Linked DNA regions of Cricetulus griseus. The protein of the gene in region 1 purifies or fractionates together with the protein of each later gene. This does not show direct contact. Links are inferred from orthologs where the notes say so. Each region holds a gene or a part of one and is shown in the gene's direction. Other genes may lie near its edges.

Region 1 (6,226 bases):
AACTGCCTCTGCCTGACTCTCAGCTTCCTCCACCCTTGGTCCGGCTCCACCTGCCCGCCAGGCTGGCCTGGTGACAGCAGCAGCAGCAGCAGCAGCAGCAGCGGGGATGACTAGGCTGACAGCTGACTGGAATGGGGGGAACAGGGCCCCTCCTCACCACTCCTTAGATGGGGCATCCTGCTCAGCTACACACCCAGCCTCCTGACATGTCCTGCCCAGCCCTGGGGCAGTTTCGGGGAAGGGGCATCCAAAAGGTGGAGCTGTCCTGGGGAGGTTCCCTCTATGCAGTTGACCTCTGGCCACCGCCCTGAGGGAAACTGGAAACTGCCTCCTTGGGACACAATGAGGATCAAGTAGGGCTGAAGGTTCTTTTCACCTGATTTTGAATACCATAGGGGGTGACGTCATGACCAGTGTGGGGGTGGGAGATGAAACCCAAAGACTTCTGACTCTGTTCTACTTAGCTTCCATGTAAACATCCAGCCCAAGGTCTGGGGAGACAAGGAGACCCTTCTCCCCACTTTTTTAGACAGGACATCCAGCCCAAGCTATCCTTAAACTTTCTGTATAGACAAGCTGACATTGACTGAACTTCTGATCCTCCTGCCTAAACCTCACCAGTACTGGAATTTCAAGCATGCACATCCAAGCTCAGCTTTTGTGGTACTGAGGATGGAATCCAGGCTTTCATGCGTGCTAGTTAAGCATTCTAGCAAAAGTGCTACATTCCCAGCCTACTTATGCCCAATATAAATATCAGTAAGTTTCCAGTTCAATATTAGATTTATTTATGAAATCCAAAATGCTCCACCATCCAGATACCAGCTCCTCAGCCAAACCCCGCCCTCTATCCCAGCAATGGGAAGGTGGGGGCATGGCTACCTTATGCCAGCCTCTTTGATGTTCTCTTTGAAACACCTGCAACTTTTTCTTCAAGATTCCTCTTCTCCCGTGAGAAAGGTCCTCCTTGTCTACCCCAGGTGAGGCGTCCATTTGTCTTTCTCCTGTCCTCTTGCCTCAGGTAGTTCTTCTCACACTGATGTCTCCCATTCTGGGCTTCTTATAGTAGAGGTTTTGACTTAAACAGTGCAGGAGCTCCAGACTTTTTGTTTAGTTTAGTTTTTTTTGTTTTTTGTTTTTTGTTTTTTTTCAAGACAGGGTTTCTCTGTATCTCTGGCTGTCCTGGAACTCACTCTGTAGACCAGGCAGGCCTGGAACTCAGAGATCCACTTGCCTATGCCTCCTGAGTGCTGGGATTAAACGCATGCGCCACCACCGTCCAGCCCCCAGACTCTTGGAAACTAAGGACCATCTGTGTTGATTAAATATTATACCAAGGAGCTGGCTAGATGGCCTAGAGGTTAAGAGCATTGGCTGCTATTCCAGAGAACCCAGGTTCACCCATGTGGTGGTTCATAACTGTCTGTAATTCCAGTTCCAAGCCTTCGGAGGGCAGTGGGCACCAAGTACGTGGTGCACAGACATACATGCAGATAAAACACCCATACACAAAAAAAATAACATTTAAAAGTATTATACTAAGAACCACTCATGGCATCAGCCACATGCCACAGCCTGATACGAGCTCCATAGATGGAAGTTTCCACAGTTTTCCCTAGATCACTGCCTGCCTGGGTGAAAGAGGTAGTAATTCACCTTCATTGAAGATTGCTGGTGCTGACCAAAGAGGTCCTGCAGGGACCCACGAGGGCATGCCCGGGCTACTCCCTTCTCACCTGACCTACATTTGAAGGAAGCCTGGATTGTTAGGTCCCCAAGCACAGAAACTCTCATTCATTCATTCATTCATTCACTCATTCATTCATTCATTCATAAAAGATCACCTCCCTCCCATGGCGATGGGCCAGGCCAGGTGCTTCTTCCCTCCCTGTCCTCAACTCCTCTCCAACTACCTGTTTACTTGTTTGTTTGTTTTTTCTCCCAGGAGCCCTAGGTGCCCTCTGAGGCATAGGTCTCCGCCCACCCCTGTGGCCTTAATGACTGCGCACAGTCGATGCTCCGAAAGTGTTTCTTGAAAGGCCAGATAGGACGCCAGGAGACCGTACCCCAGGAGCGCTGCACGCCTGGCTGGCCGCCGCACCCCGATCCTGGTCAGAGCCTCTCACCTGAGCTGGGTGTCCCCCCGCCCCCCGGGCCGCCTCCTGCCGCTCCCACTTCCTCCCGCCGCCCCGCCCCTTCCACATTCCTGTCCCGCCGAGCCAGCCCCGCGCCCGCCGCCGCCAGCCCGCCGCGCACCACCCGCTGCTCTGCGCACGGCTGTCCGCTCGCCCGCCCGCTCGCCCGCCCGGGATGAAGGCGGCCCAGGCTGCGGGAGAGGAGGCGCCGCTAAGCGGGTGCTCGGTCAAAGTGGTCCTGGTGGGCGACGGGGGCTGCGGGAAGACATCGCTGATGATGGTCTTCGCCGACGGGGCCTTCCCAGAGGTGAGTGCCCTCACCCTTGGCCTTGCGCAGTCCCCGCGCTGGAACGCACCAGTGTGCGGGTGGGTCTGCCGAGAACTGCCTGGAAATACCCAATTCCAGCCTCCTGGGGGTTCCCAACAGAGCCTGGGGTCGAAGGCAGAGTTTTTCAGAAGTAGCCAGTAGGATCGAAGTGAGACTAATGGCATTTAGGGGGAGGGGTGTCACAGGAACTGAATTAGGCCACTTGGGGAAACAGCAAATCCTAAGAGAGCAGTTGGTGTCACAACTTGGCTAAGAGAGTGAGGACTTTGGAGCCAGACTGGCAGCGTCAAACCAAGCCTTTGCCTCTTACAGCTGTGTGCCTTTGGGCAAGTCCCTTACCCTCTCTGTGCCTGTTTCTTTAACTGCATGATAGGACTAGCAGTCCCCTCCTGAGTTTATACAAGAGCGAGCCGATAGGGGTCAAGAGCTCAGCTCCAAGTCTGCATGCGAGAAGGACTCAACTGAAAGTTGATAAATGATGCCCCTTGGGAGGTACAGTTCTTCTCCGACCCTGGCCACTATGGTGCAAATCCCATTCTTTACCATAGAGAGGAAAATGGGGAACATAGACCTTCTCTAAAGAGCCCTGTTCGACTTATGATTTGCTTTGACTCTAAGCCTCGGTTTCTCAAAGCAACCTCACGGGAGGGAAGGGAGTAAGGAAGGTGAGGCAGAAGGCTGATGGACACTCAGTGCAGTACCTGGTATAGCCTGCCTCTCTGGGCTTGTGACTGTGGGTCCTCCAGGACAGGCTCTCCAGGCAGTTCAGCAGGGCCAGTGACCAGAACAGTGGCTGAGCCCACTTTCTATGCCTCCATGAGGAGTGGGATTTCTAGGTGCTCCTGAGTTTGCCTCCAGCAGCACGTCTTTTTCCTTTCCTATCCCTGCATCCTTCCAGCCTCTGGGATTGCGCAGAGCTGGGCAGTGTAATGGAGGAGTTGGAGAAGCTGGTCTGGCAAACGGTGCCAGGGCTTGCTTGCCACTCTACACCAGTGAGCTATTGGTTTTTATGTTTTTGGACCTTAGTGGTTTCCGTTTTGTTTTTGAGACAGGATGTTACTGTGTAGGCTTTGAATGCTCCATCCTCAGCTCTCTCACCCTGAGGGTTGCTGGGATTACATGTATGTGCCACCATACCCAGCTCAGAGCCTTTGGATTTGTGGTTTGCAAAATTGACGTCACCTCCTTTGACCAGTTACACAATTTTTTGAAGTTGAAGAGATAGTTTCCAGGTCTCTAGGTGCTGCTCACGGAAACCTGACTGTTGTGGCAGCTGAGGATCAGAGGAAGGCACTTAGAGACAGAGGCAGAGGGCTCAGCATCATTGTCCTGCATCAGACATTCTAGATGGTGACATTGACCGCAGGGGCCGTACTATTTTCATATAGAAACACCTTTCAGTCCATGAACTATGTATGTTTTACAGGACACCTTGGAGTGAGAGTAGTCACCAGGGGGCTGGACCAACCTTGTCCTTTTTCTCCCTTTGTCTGGGAGTTCCCTGACATGAGAGAGAGAGAGAGAGAGAGAGAGAGAGAGAGAGAGAGAGAGAGAGAGAGAGAGAGAGAGCTCTTTTTAGTTAGTTATCAAGCTAGTTTTGTTTTTGAGACAAAGTCTCCATTTGTATCCTAGGTTCATCTCAAATACTCCTGCCACTGTAGTGCTAGGATTATAGATATGTAACATTACCACATCTGGTTGTTATTTTGTTTATCTGAGACAGGGTTTCTCTGTGTATGTAGACCTGGCTATCAAGGAATTCCCATCTGCAGATCAGACTAGCCTCTAACTCAGACAATCACCTGCCTCTGCCTCCCAGTGCTGGGTTTTGTTTGTTTTGAGACAAGGTCTCAAGGAGTCCATGCTGACCTCAGATTCAATGTGTAGCCACTGATGCCTCCTAATCTTTCCTCCACTTCCCAGCTCAGACCATCTTGCCCTCCCCAGGGCACTCTATGACCTCTGAAGTCACTACTGTTGTCTGTTGACCAGTTTCAGCCTGTTCTGCCTCAGGCAGCCCTAAAAGCCCAAGGAGCCAGCAGCCTGGAGGCTTAGGGTCCGGTAGTCTTGAGGCTTTCTGATTGCAGCAAAGGGCAGAGAAGAGAGCACGCTGGGAATGTGGAGCAGCCTCTGTGACCTTCACAGGCTGTAACCCAACTTCAAGTTCAAGGCAGAGGGGGCAAAATAGAGCTTATGAGGCATGGAGAGACATCAGTCCCCAAAAAGTCTCAGCTGCCATTGTAGCCTACAAGACTGGGCCAGGAGATTGGAGAGAGACCCAGCCTGCAGAGCCAGCCAAGTCCAAAGTCTTTTCAGACTGCTCCAGTTTCCATAGGCATCTTACCTGGGGAACCCTCTCCTCATTCTGTTATGGTCACCTGTCTGTGAACCCCAGGAGGGCAGGCCCAGGGCTGAGTCATCTCCATCCTGGGTCAACCTAGGCCAGCCCTTGTGTCTCTGACTGAACAAAACTGAACAGATAAGATTAAGCACTTCTGCCTAGGGGGTCAAAGAACAGCTCAAAAGGTATAGATAAAGTCACATTCCAAAACAAGGGGTGGGGCAGTGACTCTTCTCAGTGAGGAGGTAACACAGCCCCTTCCAGCTCACATCTGGTCTGTATGATGTCAGAAGCAAATATTGATGACCTCAGAAGAGGAAAGTGGCTGGTGTAGCCCCTAAAAACCAACAGCACTGGCTCAGCTTCTGCCTAGCCCAGCTAGTGCATGGCCCTAGGCAAATCACTTTCCTCAGAGCCTCTGAAAGTCTGCTAAGGTTGTAGGAGTCCAGGAGAAGAGCCTTAGGGAGCAGTGGGCTGAGGCCATCTTCACAGACTCGTGAAGCACTGGCCTGTCTCCCAAGAGCTTTGTTATGGGTCATCCCACATCCTGAAGCTCGGATCAGGAGAGCCCCTCAACTGGCATGTAGGTAACCACATGAGGGTCTCAGATGCAGAAGATCAGTTTCTCCACAGTGACAGGTTCTTGCTCTAGGGTGGAGGCCAGAGGCTACAATTTGGGATGTGAAAGGGAATACAGAGGATGGATAGGGGTGGTATGGATACTGAGAACCAGGTAATTAGTGACCATCCATGCTGCAACAGGTCTTCCCTTTGCAGTCCCGTGGTGACACTTTTTCTCTTAACCAGTGATGGTGCAGGCCCAAGGCCACACACAACTAACTAGTGGCTGTCAGAGCTGGGTCCTAAACCAGGCTCATCTGACCTCAAAGCCAGTGTTGTCCTCACACTCTCTTCCCCTCCAGTAGGAAAAATGTCCAAGGGAAGAGGAAGCTGAGCATGTAAAGAGAGAAAGGGAGGCAGCTTGGGCCCTTGTCTGTTCTTGTCCATTCCTGTTCGTTTTGGGGGTGACAGAGTAGCCATGCTAACTTCTCCCTATTTCTCCAGGTGACCACTCTTCCCTCTCCTGCATGGCCTCCCATGCCCTAGTGAAAATACTCCCCCATCACTGACTGCTCCTCCCAGCTGGCCAGGGCCTGACTAAGAGGACTGGCAGGCAGTCTGGCCATCGGAAAGACAGGCATGAAGTCCTCCTGAGTCATAGTCAGGTAGAAACCCTGCCTGATAAGGGAAAGGAAGAGACTAGGTATCCCCACATTGTGACCCTACCAGCCAGCCCTGGCCAAGTGACAGAAGCTTAAGGGGTTCAATACAGGAGGTTAAGCCTGGAATGGTAGCTCATGCCTGTCATCCTAACCCTCAGGAGGCTGAGGTTGAAAAATGCAGTAAGTTCCAAGCCATCCT
Region 2 (4,557 bases), on another chromosome or scaffold:
GAATGCTGCTTACTGGCTTGCTCCCCACAGCTTGCTCAGCTTGCTTCCTCATTCAACCCAGGACCATCTGCCCAAGGATAGCACTGCCCACAGTGGGCTCAGCCTTCCAACATCAATCCTTAATCAAGAAAATGCTCCCCACAGATTTGCCCATAGGCCAGACTGTTGTAGCCAATTCCTCATTTGAAGTGCCGCTCATCCCAGATATGTCTAGTTGACAAAAACTAACCTGCACAATCTTTCAGCTGCCACCATACTCCTTTTACTTCATTCTCTCCTTCAAACTTGAGTAGTAGGCATTATTTCCCAGTGATCAGATTGAGTTATTTGGTGTGGTTTATTGATCTCAAGTTCAGAGGCTGTGTTCACAAACATCAGCTAATCTCAGTACTACCTTCCAGGCATACCAAATAAATAAGGAGGCAGTATGTGCCACATGGCCACCATTAGAGATCCACCTCTGATACACCACAGCAGAAACAAGACAAACAGTATCCATGGGTGTGGTCCAAACTGCCATCATGAGAATCCTATTCTTTCTTGTGTTTGTAAAAGAAGGGGTCCCCTATCCTGGAGTCCTGACCTATGACCTACCTCATCAAGGAGCCAAAATACAGAACCAACTGGGCTATTTATTTATTTATTTAAGCGCACATGCAGAGAACCCCGTGTTTTTGTATGTGGGAACATTAATCTAGCCTGAGGTTCTTTTGGATTTCTAAGACTAAAATATACATGACTTCATCATCACTAGAATTCCTAGATAAAAAGATCATCCATGATGGCTTAAAGTGCATGAACTTGAATATTTTAGGAGCTCAGCTGTAGACCGTTTATTGCTGTTTTGTTCATTCCAGAACTTTTAGAAATAAGCTTATAAAACCATGAATCAAGCTAGACTACTCTAATGTGGTGCATGAAGAATGTTATGTTTTTCTCTAAAGAGTTCTGTTTTGTAATAGAATATTTCCAAATAAGTAAAACATTGAGAACAGCTCCACATTAAGAGAAATGGAAGAAAATATATTTTAAAATAGGAGGGCCAGTGAGATGCTTTAGTGAGTGAAACCACTTTGCATGCAATCCTGATGGCCTGATGACCTCCCACCAGGAGAAGAGAAGTGACTCTAAAAGTTGCCCTCTGACCTCCACATGGCACGCATGCACCTGCACACTTACACATATATACACATGATAACTAAATTTAAAATAATAAAATTATTATGAAATATGTACAAATATGCATATCAGTCAAAATTGTTATCTATAAGAACATTGAAAACATGCATAATATTACTAAAATATCAGAAGCTTTAACAATAATGCAAGAAAAATCAAGCCAATTAGAAACCATGGAATTGCTGTGATCTGAATAAGGTCTGATCAGAATGTAGTTGAGTAGCACAGGAAAGAGAATTCAGTTGAGTACGAAGCCTGGTCTCTAAGCTGGGCTGCACAGGGCCAGCAGCCCTGGGCCCTTCCCACCACAGGAGCTCAGTGCTGACAGTAATGGCACTGTCCTGGGGTAGTCCAGGTGATGCTGAGACTTGGGATAGCAAACTCTCCAAGTTACTAAGGAAAGCCCTCTGAGAACAAAAGACAGAAACAGTTAAGAGGTTTGAAAAGAAACTGCACATACTGTTTTGTTACTTTACATTTTGTTTAAATTTTTTAAATTATCCCTAACTTTGTATTTGTCAGCTTTAGAAAGAGACATTAAACGAATTTCTGAGAACATTGTAGGATTGGCCTAAAGTAATCTCAATCAGAAACTTTGGATGCCATTAATGACTCCACAGTCAGTTATTCTTTCCTAATTAGAGCTGGGGCAGCCTAAAGACAACATTAGCATTATTTATGGATAGGAAAAAGCAGCTGGGAAGTCCTGGGTCCCATTTGTTTTTCATATTCACCATATGGCCCCAATAAATGGTATTAAACTACTTCAAAGGAAAGCTTAAAGTACAAGGTTTCCGACCCCTGCTGTGCTTGCTTTTAGTCTCTGGGTCTCCGGTGTCCTGTCCTGCAGTATTTTGCCTTCTTGTGTTTACTGTTGTTTAGTTAAGACAGTGTTGTATGTGGAAACCATAGATGTTACGCTGAAATGAAATGGACAGGATACAATGGCTTCAGAAGTTGGGGAGTATTCAGTTTCCAGCTTTGCAAATGATGAGTAGGTGTGTTCAGTGGCTGAAGAGAAACAATGGGCTGCTAAAATCCTTCAGTTATATTTGAGCTTTCAGCCTTCTAGGGAGAATTCATTTTGACTGTGGAGTCAGTTCTTTTGAAACACTGAGGTCTTCTTCTTCTTCTTCTTCTTTTTTTTTTTTTTTAAATTTTTTTCTCCAGTTCACTAAAGCAGTGAAGCACTTTGGGGAAGAGGCTGGCAAAATACAGCCAGATGAGTTCTTTGGGATATTTGACCAGTTTCTTCAAGCTGTGGCAGAAGCGAAACAGGAGAATGAGAACATGAGGAAAAGGAAAGAGGAGGAAGAGAGGCGGGCTCGCATGGAAGCTCAGGTAAGAGGAGACTCACCCAGCAGGTCCTCCTGGACCCCTCGCTGCAGCCCTCCAGTTTCTGTGATTCAGTCTTTCCCTTCTGTGGTACTGGGGACCAAACCAGGGCCACATGATAGACAGGTACTCCAGCACCCAGGTATGTATGGCCCAGAGCCAGGCCCTTTATTTCCAGAGCACTGTGCTGCACTGTCAAGGAGGGGAGAACCATGCATTCTAGAGTGACTCAGATAGCTTAGATCCATACCACGTTTCTCTTGAGCGATTTGGGAGTTTCTCTCCAAAGACTGAAAAATCCTGTCCACATCCCACGAGTGGAGCTCCTTAGAAATTACCTTCAAGAAACAATTATAAGTTTCCAAAAGGACATTAGCATTCTTTGTAAGAGCCCTAAATTACCTGTGTTAACTCCCTCAAATGCAGAAAGAGAGAGAGAGAATGTAATGAAACTTACCTTCACTGTCCATTGATTTTTCAGTTAGCCTTTACATTACCCACACAGGTTAGCAGCCACAGCTGATAGATACATGGCTGCATGTAAGAAAGAGATTCACTCCCTACCGCAGGGCACAGAATTCTTCTGTGCTGAAAACAAAATACACCTTAATCCTAAAAGGATTCTCTCTATGTGCAGCTCAAAGAACAACGGGAAAGGGAGCGCAAGATGAGGAAGGCCAAGGAGAACAGTGAAGAAAGCGGAGAGTTTGACGATCTGGTCTCAGCTTTACGCTCAGGAGAAGTGTTTGACAAAGACCTTTCCAAACTCAAACGGAACCGCAAACGCATTTCCAACCAGGTGACGGATGGTAGCCGGGAGCGACCAATCACAAAACTGAATTTTTAATTTTCTTGCATCCTTTTCTAGAAAGCGCAGTAGCAGCCCTTTGGCCTGACTAGAACTTTTCATTACACTGCCTTGCAATCAAAACAGTGGCAATTTCTTCTCTCACCTGTGAGTGAAGGTGTGAATGTGTGTGTGTAAATGTATGTGTATATATGTGAAAATGTATATAGACGTCTGAGTGTTGTCCAGGGACCTATGTGTATGCTTCAAAAGTTTATGTTAATGTGTGTGCTCAGAAACTCTCTGTGTATGCATTCATGTCGAGTGGGGCTCATTTTCTTTCCCTGAACACCATGAATGTTCAGAAGCACAATTCTCCCTCCCGAAACAGGTAACAGACATTCCTTAACATTAAAAACAAAACAAAACAAAAAAAAAAAAAAAGAGAAGGAAGAAAAGAAGAAAACAGGATGTTTTTTAAAAAAGGTGTGTCTTGTGGAGTATTTTATGGTTCCCAGAGTTAGTGTAGTGAGACAGTTTTTACTGGTAGAATTGGAGTTGGAAAATACAGATCTGGATGAGTTTGGTGGTTCCAGTCGGGCACTGCTGCCTGCATCACTGACTAACTTGGAAGAACAGCTTCAAGTTCCCGATGCTGCTGTTGGGTTTCAGTCTACAGATGTCTGTTGAGAGCATCTTGCACACATTCATACCATGTAGAACATCAGTCACAATTCTTTTGTATATTTGAAACTTGAACACCAGGTTTTCTCCCCTAATTTCATCTCTTGGTGATTTATTTTCTTTTTCTTTCTTTTCTTTTTTTTTTTTTTTTTGAAAACATGGTTTCTAAATAATGTCACCTACATCCTGGTTAAAGGCCAGGATTTCCAGAACCTTGTTGTTGACCTAACAATACAGATTTGTAAACCTGGACAATGAAATTTCCCACCGAAGACTCAGTGGAAGAAAGAACTCCCTGAAGATTCTTTTTAAAGGCATATGGGGTGCTTTTGGGGTGTCTTCTGTTTCCTGTGTAGGCCATGCTGCATATCTTGGGATAAAGGACACTCACAGTGACACAAAATGTCAACAGTATCTACAGGGATGCTCAGATCTATTTATCTCAAAGGATATTTGAAGCGATTGCTGTTAAGTGTTGTCATTTTAAATTGTGTGTCAGTGAAGCTACCTGTACATCTTCAGTCCAAAAAAAAAACAAAAAACAAAAAACAAAAAAAAAAAAAACAAAACAA
Region 3 (6,158 bases), on another chromosome or scaffold:
CTGTTACACAGAGAAACCCTGTCTCGAAAAACCAAAAAAAAGAAAGAACAGGTTGTACACACTGTAATGTTTAAGGAGTATTCACAAAGTAAGCTAATGCAGAGCTGCACGGTGAGTTTTTGCTTTCTTCTAGAGCTCTCCTGTAACATGACTATAACCCTCTGGGTTCTTCGGATTCCTTTGATCAAACCCTCAAGTATGTATTGCCTTGCCCTTCCCCACTGATTCTGGCTAAGTCCAGATGTAACAAAGGCTGTCCATTGTACACAGGTGCCAGGCCTGTTCCTAGATCTTTGTTTCTCCCTTACCCCTATGACCTCAGGCTATAACAGTTTGTCACGTTGTATGCATTTTACAGGCAAGGAAATAGACAAGATAGATGTGATGAAGGTGTACAGTGAGCTAAATCATTCTCAGTGTCCTGTTAGAAAACTGAGCAGAGCAGGTGGAGGTTGAGTCCTTGGCATTAGGAAGAGTGGCCCTGGCACCTCCTGAAACAGAGGTGCCAGCCTCACCACCAAAAGCCTGGTCTCTAAGGGATCTTCAGAAATATGGCATCTTCCACTGTGACAGATGGAGCTTCCAGGCTATGGGGACAGCACAGTGCTAGCCATTTGGAGTCTGAAACTGTGCCTTTGGTGTGCCCAGCCTCATATCCAAGTATAGAGTGGCAAGGTCTGAAGCTCCCAGGTCTTATTGGTCTCACTCTAAAGAGCACATCTCAAATGCCACTGCAATGTGTTGTGTTTTCCCTTCACTTTCTGGGGGCTGTCATACAGTAAGCTTCATAGTGGCTCCCATGGACCTCCGACACCATCCACCTGGGACTAATTAGCTTCTGTCCTAGCAATCAGTCATTCTCAGAACACTGGACATGGGACTCAGAAACAGATTTAGGGGTTATGTGGCGTGTGTGTTCACAACAGTACTTCCTAGGGCATAGACCCAAGGCATATAGGAATGAGGAAAAAGTACCATCTCCTTTTAGGTGCTTGTCCTGGCTACTGGGTAGAGTTTACAGCCTGGGGCCTCCTACCAGCTACATCCTCTTCTACTCTAGCTCTCCCAGGATGGGATCAGCTGAGTTAGTGGGGGTTTCTGTCCAGAGTAGGTTAAAGACTTCAAGTCCATGCCCAGGGCAGGGCCTGGAGAGAAGACAGATGGCTTCAAGGAAGTGCTTCCCTCCCCCCAAGCCCAAGGGCCCTCATGGTTAAGATGCCTGGATAGTGAAAAAAAAAAAAAAAAATCCAAGATGCAGTGATCCCCAGGGCTCCCTTGTGTGGCATATTGGAGAGAGCTGTGAGCCAGCATTCAAGGGATCTAGGAGGGCTGGGTGGAGGTCATGAGGCAGCCAGCCCCAGGGACAAGACCGGAAGAACAGGAGGGATCTTTTACCCTCCAGCTTCCTGCCTTCTATTTTGAGCCCCACTCAGTTTGGAATACTGGCCTTCCCACAACTTTGGTATTAAAATATCTTTTTGTGGTAAAATACTTATTTTTTTTTTGATACAGATTTTGCAGCCCTGCAAATTACTAGATATTTTGAAGTCCCTTGGTATGTGTGTGTATGTGGGGGGGGGGGAAACTGTTGTTGGAGGGAAGAAGGTAATATGATAAAGCCTAGCTGCTTGGCGATGGGGCAAGTCAGTCTTGCTTACACAACCGGCAAAACCCTCAGATTTGTAGTCTTTTGCTGGGGAAGGCTTAAGAATTGGGGTGGATCCCCAAAGTTGGGGAGGAGATGCCTAAGGAAATAGGAAGTAGGCAGTCTTCAAGGAGGGCAATTTTGGGTGGAGGCGATAGATACTGCAGGGTAGACACGAGCTGAGCTATGCAAACTAGTCCCAAACCCTGTTCTGCGACAGTGGGGTCATCGCCAAGTTACAAATCCATGGGGCCACAGCATGGGTGACTTGGAGATCAGAAAGAAGTAGGAACTCTAGGGAGTAGTTCTGTCCTACCCAATAGATGAAGACTTGGGGGTCGCTAAGGCCCAGATATGATGGGCCAGGGGACCAGGAAGGAGGGCAATGAGAGCAGAGTTCCAGCTATTCTGCAGGAGACTGAGCGGCTAGAATCCCGGAGAAAGAATCACCCTCGGGAAGGACACGAGCGTGGTCCCCCTGTTGCCAATCTGGTGGCGAGGTTCCTTGCGCCCCGCCCATCTCCAAGAGGAACACTTAAGGCCTCGGTCTGGCCCAGCCGAAGCCACCCACCAGTGCCGGGCCGCGTGCACCAATTCACTTCGGCCTGAGGCACTCCCGGGGTGGTGCCCAGCCTCAGCGAACTCCTCTGATGACGGGGCGATGGGGGTGGGGGGAGACGCGACTGCAGCAGGCAGGGCGCGCGGATTGCTACAGGGAGCGAACATCCAAGCAAAGCAGTGTGCTTAAGTGGCTCTGAGCAGGGGGAAACGCGGGGTACGCTAGGGACGCCAGCTGCCCCTCCTACCCTCGGTCGGCTATCCTCTATCCCTTAGTCTCGTCCCTCCCTCTCACCCGCCCCTGTCCTCCCCGCCCTCCTTCTCCCCTGGCGGGGGCGGGGCCGGCGGCTCCCGCGCGCTCCGGCCCCTCCTCGGCCACACAAAGGCCCGTCTCCATGGCAGCCGCGCGGGCCAGAGCGCAACGCAGAGCGCGGCCCCGGCGCCATCGAGCGACGGCTGCGGAGGAGCAGGTACCGCACTTGGGGACGGGAACTGCGGGGGGCGTCGCGCAGGCCCAGGCTTCGCTCTCCGCGCCGCTCGGCCTCGGCTTGCGCACCCGGACGCGGGGGTGCTAGGGCAGTGCCGCTGCGCTGTGGGCGACGCGGGCCTGCGTCTTTGCCCTGTGTCTGTCTGTCCAACCGGCTGGGCCTGGCTGCTCCTGCCCCACCGGTTGGCGACGAGGCCCTCCGCGCCGGGATGTTGGGAGACTGGCCTGACTGGCCGGGTCCCAGCGATCTAATGGAGCTGCACTCTACCCAGTGTAGTTTCAAACCCTCCCTCGCGGCTGGCGCCCCTACCTCTTAGCCTGCCGAATCGAAGGACCAGAGAGAGTCATCCCTGTTATGCCGGACCTCCAGGCCCCAGTTCTCAAGCTAAGCCTGCGCAGAGCCGGGCTCTGCTGGAGCTTTTTTCCAGGGGTGCACAACCGCAGCAGTCCCCACACCTTCTGGGACAGGGAACAAGGGACAGAGAGAACTAACACCCAGTAGTACCTGGTGAGGCCCCACGCCTCCCAGCAAGGTCTCCGCAGCTTCTAGTGTAGTTCGTTGGTGTGATATTTGGAGGGACACCTAGGACAGAAGGCTTAGAACTTGGGAGGTATTTTCACAATCTAGCCCTTTACTTCTATATACCTTCCGCAGGGAGCTCTCATGCATGTGCCCATACTGTTCCTCTGGTCAGGCTGTGTGGCAGATTTGTGTGTGGATGGGTAGTGTCTCCCGGTCTGGGGGTTTCCGATCTTAAGAATCCTAGAGTTTCTGGCCACGTCACTTAACTCCTTTTTCTAGCTCCTTGGAGAAGGCAGGAAGAGAGGTGGGCCAGTGGCCACTATGGTGGTGGTGGTGGTCAGAACTGGAGCTGAAGCCAGGCCCAAAGTCAGTGAGTGTAATGTCCTGAGGAACAGAGGCTCTGAGGGCCCTCATTTGCCTTGGGGAGTGCCCCTTCTAATGTCTATCTTCGGTCTGTATTGATGGCTTTAAAGCTGAACTCCTCAGGCTGCCCACGCACACCTTTAAGGTGGGAGCTGTCAGCCTGATCCTACACCCGGATGCTACCCTGGTACGTAGGGAATGCCATTAGAAAGTTGGACTACCAGTGGGAAGAGTTCTCGCTCTTTGGTCAGGAGGTGAAGTTCCTACGAAAGTAGGGCGAGCATGTGAGGTGTTTTGTGGAATGTGCCAAACCTTATTGTGTTGTATCGAAATTGCTAGAGAAGACAGAAATAAGCAGGTAGACCACGGTTCCTTGGGTACCTAGTCTCACACCCTTCCATGGAGTTGGGGAGGCCTGAGGACGGGACAGAGGTTCCTAGCCCCAGGAACTCAGGGAAGTTACTTAGAAAAACAAGAGTTTGGAATGTGAGTCCCCCTTCCCCCACGGGCTGCCTGCCAAGGAGGAATTATTTTGGATTATCCAGCCGAGTCCAGCAATTCCAGCTACCCAAAGAGGAGGTTGAAGCAGAAGGGGAGGCTGAAGGGACCCACTTCCGGGCCGTGGGTTGAGAACCCCAGGAGGGCGGGGTTGAGAGCCCCAGGAGGGCGGGGCTGGCAAGTCCAGGCAGCTCTACCACCTCCCTCCCATGGCTGCTCAGACCAGTCAGGGGCGGGGTAGGAGGGCATGTGTCACCTTGGGTTAGAGAAGGTCCTCAAGGTCGGCTTCTTTGTAGGCCCTGCCCGGCCTGGAATATGCCCAGGCTCCTCTGAGAGAGCCCATGGGGCAGGAAGTACTTCAGACCCATGTGGAAGACCCGGTTCACTCCCTAAAACCATGTTTAAGGACACCTGGGATGGGTCCCACTCCTGGCAATGACTTAGATCAGGAAGCACATCTTCCTGGAGCTAAACCTTAGGCCACCTACCTGTCTTCTCACTGACCAGCTGTTCAATGAAGGGCTGCACCGCCTCCCGGCTCCGCCCCTCATTAGTAATGTGATATTGGTCAGGACATCCCACAGGTGAGCAGATAAAGGTCCCTACAAGAAGCCATTGGGATGTTCCTGAGTTGGCTCCTGGGGCTTGTGACTGCCCAGGAGCCTGGATGGAGACCACATTGGGAAGTAGAGCCAGCAGCTGATGCCCAAGGGCAGGAAGCCCAGGGACTTGGCCCTGGCCCCTGCTAGTGGAGCAGAAGAGATTGAATTGGAAGGGATTGGGTTGAGCTGGGCTGACAGCCTACGGAGGTGTCCATATGGCACATGTCCCCCCTACCAGATCCTTAGCTATTCTAGAACATACATCTAATGTCCTGTCCACTGCCTGGTACCTCTCCTGATGGTTAGTGCTAATGGTTCCTCAGGGATATTGGACATAGGCAAGGGTCACTGGTGGAAGGATCTTCTAGCAAGCACTATCCCTTGCTTGTCGGCTATCCCTTACATACCTCTCTGCCACAAAGGGCTGTCACCCTGCAGCCAGGCACTCCTTGCTTATGTCCTCCTATTCCTCTTGCTGTTTCCTGTTCCCTGCCTTGCTCTTGATATTCGGGGAGTAAGCTTTTTGTCTCTGTTGAGGGCCTCTTGTAAAAGAACTGGCTTGGTGAGGGAAAGAAGGTAAGTTAGTTAGAACTCCAACCAAGGCCTGGTAGTCAAGGCTCTGGAGAACCTGTGGATGAGGCTGAGGCTGCCTCTATTAGCCTCACTGCCCTTCTGTGCCAAGCCATTGGGTGGTTAGATAGGGGTAGGGGCTGGGTAGAGCCCCTCTCCTAGGGCTAATGGCTGTTTGTGTTTAGGGTGGGGTTGTGGGTAGGGTGGAGCTGGATTCTGACTAATTATAGTCTGGGAAGGGCTGAAGTGTGTGTGTATGTGTGTGTTGTGTGTGTGTGTGGGGGGGGTTGGAATAGGGTATCAGGGGCAGCTGCCCCAGCTCTTGGCTTTCCAGACCTCATGTGACTACTCTTTCATGCTCTTCTAGGTTTCACTTCCCCAGGCAGCTACTGCTCCCTACCCCCAGCTGTGTGAGCCTCCTGCTCTCCTCTGTTGACATAGCATGGACTCTGCCCTGTCCTGAACTCTTGACTACAGGTGCTGCCTCTGACTCTTCTACCTCATTAGAGCATCTGAAAGGATAGGAAAGGCCTCTGCTATCCTTCCTGTACCCCAACTCTAGAGGGGCCCTCCTTACTCTAAAATTCGTTAACCTGTGACCGTGATTGGATTCAACTCCCAGGTGGTCAAGGATGGTGAACTCCCCTTGGAGCAGATCTGAACCATCTCACAGTAACAATCTTGCCACCGGGAAGATCCCAAGCTGGTCCAGACTTGGAGCTGGTAGCACTATTTCCTGTCTTTTGTCACTCTCTGATCCCGCCTCTGCAGCCCAGTGTCCCCTCCCCCAGCCTGGCTCCTTGCCTCCCTCATGGCTGGCAGCCTTCCCTGGGGTGTCCCCATGGACTGCTGAGTTCACACCTGAGCTGCCTGGGGTCCCAGTGGACTACACACAGAAGGGGCTTAACCGGA

What was found.
Region 2: the proteins of Rhod (region 1) and Daam1 purify together in Homo sapiens (affinity purification with mass spectrometry; 3 studies listed by BioGRID and IntAct, counting the BioPlex papers as one, with this or other methods). This does not show direct contact. The link is inferred for Cricetulus griseus from reciprocal best matches to the Homo sapiens genes RHOD and DAAM1.
Region 3: the proteins of Rhod (region 1) and Plxnb2 purify together in Homo sapiens (affinity purification with mass spectrometry; 3 studies listed by BioGRID and IntAct, counting the BioPlex papers as one, with this or other methods). This does not show direct contact. The link is inferred for Cricetulus griseus from reciprocal best matches to the Homo sapiens genes RHOD and PLXNB2.

The regions. Positions count from the first base shown.
Region 1 is NC_048596.1:54,833,396-54,839,621, forward strand, and holds the start of Rhod (rho-related GTP-binding protein RhoD), read left to right. Parts: upstream 1-2,216; 5' UTR 2,217-2,310; coding exon 2,311-2,442; intron 2,443-6,226. UniProt on the Homo sapiens protein: Involved in endosome dynamics. May coordinate membrane transport with the function of the cytoskeleton. Involved in the internalization and trafficking of activated tyrosine kinase receptors such as PDGFRB.
Region 2 is NC_048598.1:131,430,600-131,435,156, reverse strand, and holds part of Daam1 (disheveled-associated activator of morphogenesis 1), read left to right. Parts: intron 1-2,349; coding exon 2,350-2,520; intron 2,521-3,151; coding exon 3,152-3,361; 3' UTR 3,362-4,557. UniProt on the Homo sapiens protein: Binds to disheveled (Dvl) and Rho, and mediates Wnt-induced Dvl-Rho complex formation. May play a role as a scaffolding protein to recruit Rho-GDP and Rho-GEF, thereby enhancing Rho-GTP formation. Can direct nucleation and elongation of new actin filaments.
Region 3 is NC_048595.1:385,931,841-385,937,998, reverse strand, and holds the start of Plxnb2 (plexin-B2), read left to right. Parts: upstream 1-2,528; 5' UTR 2,529-2,673; intron 2,674-6,158.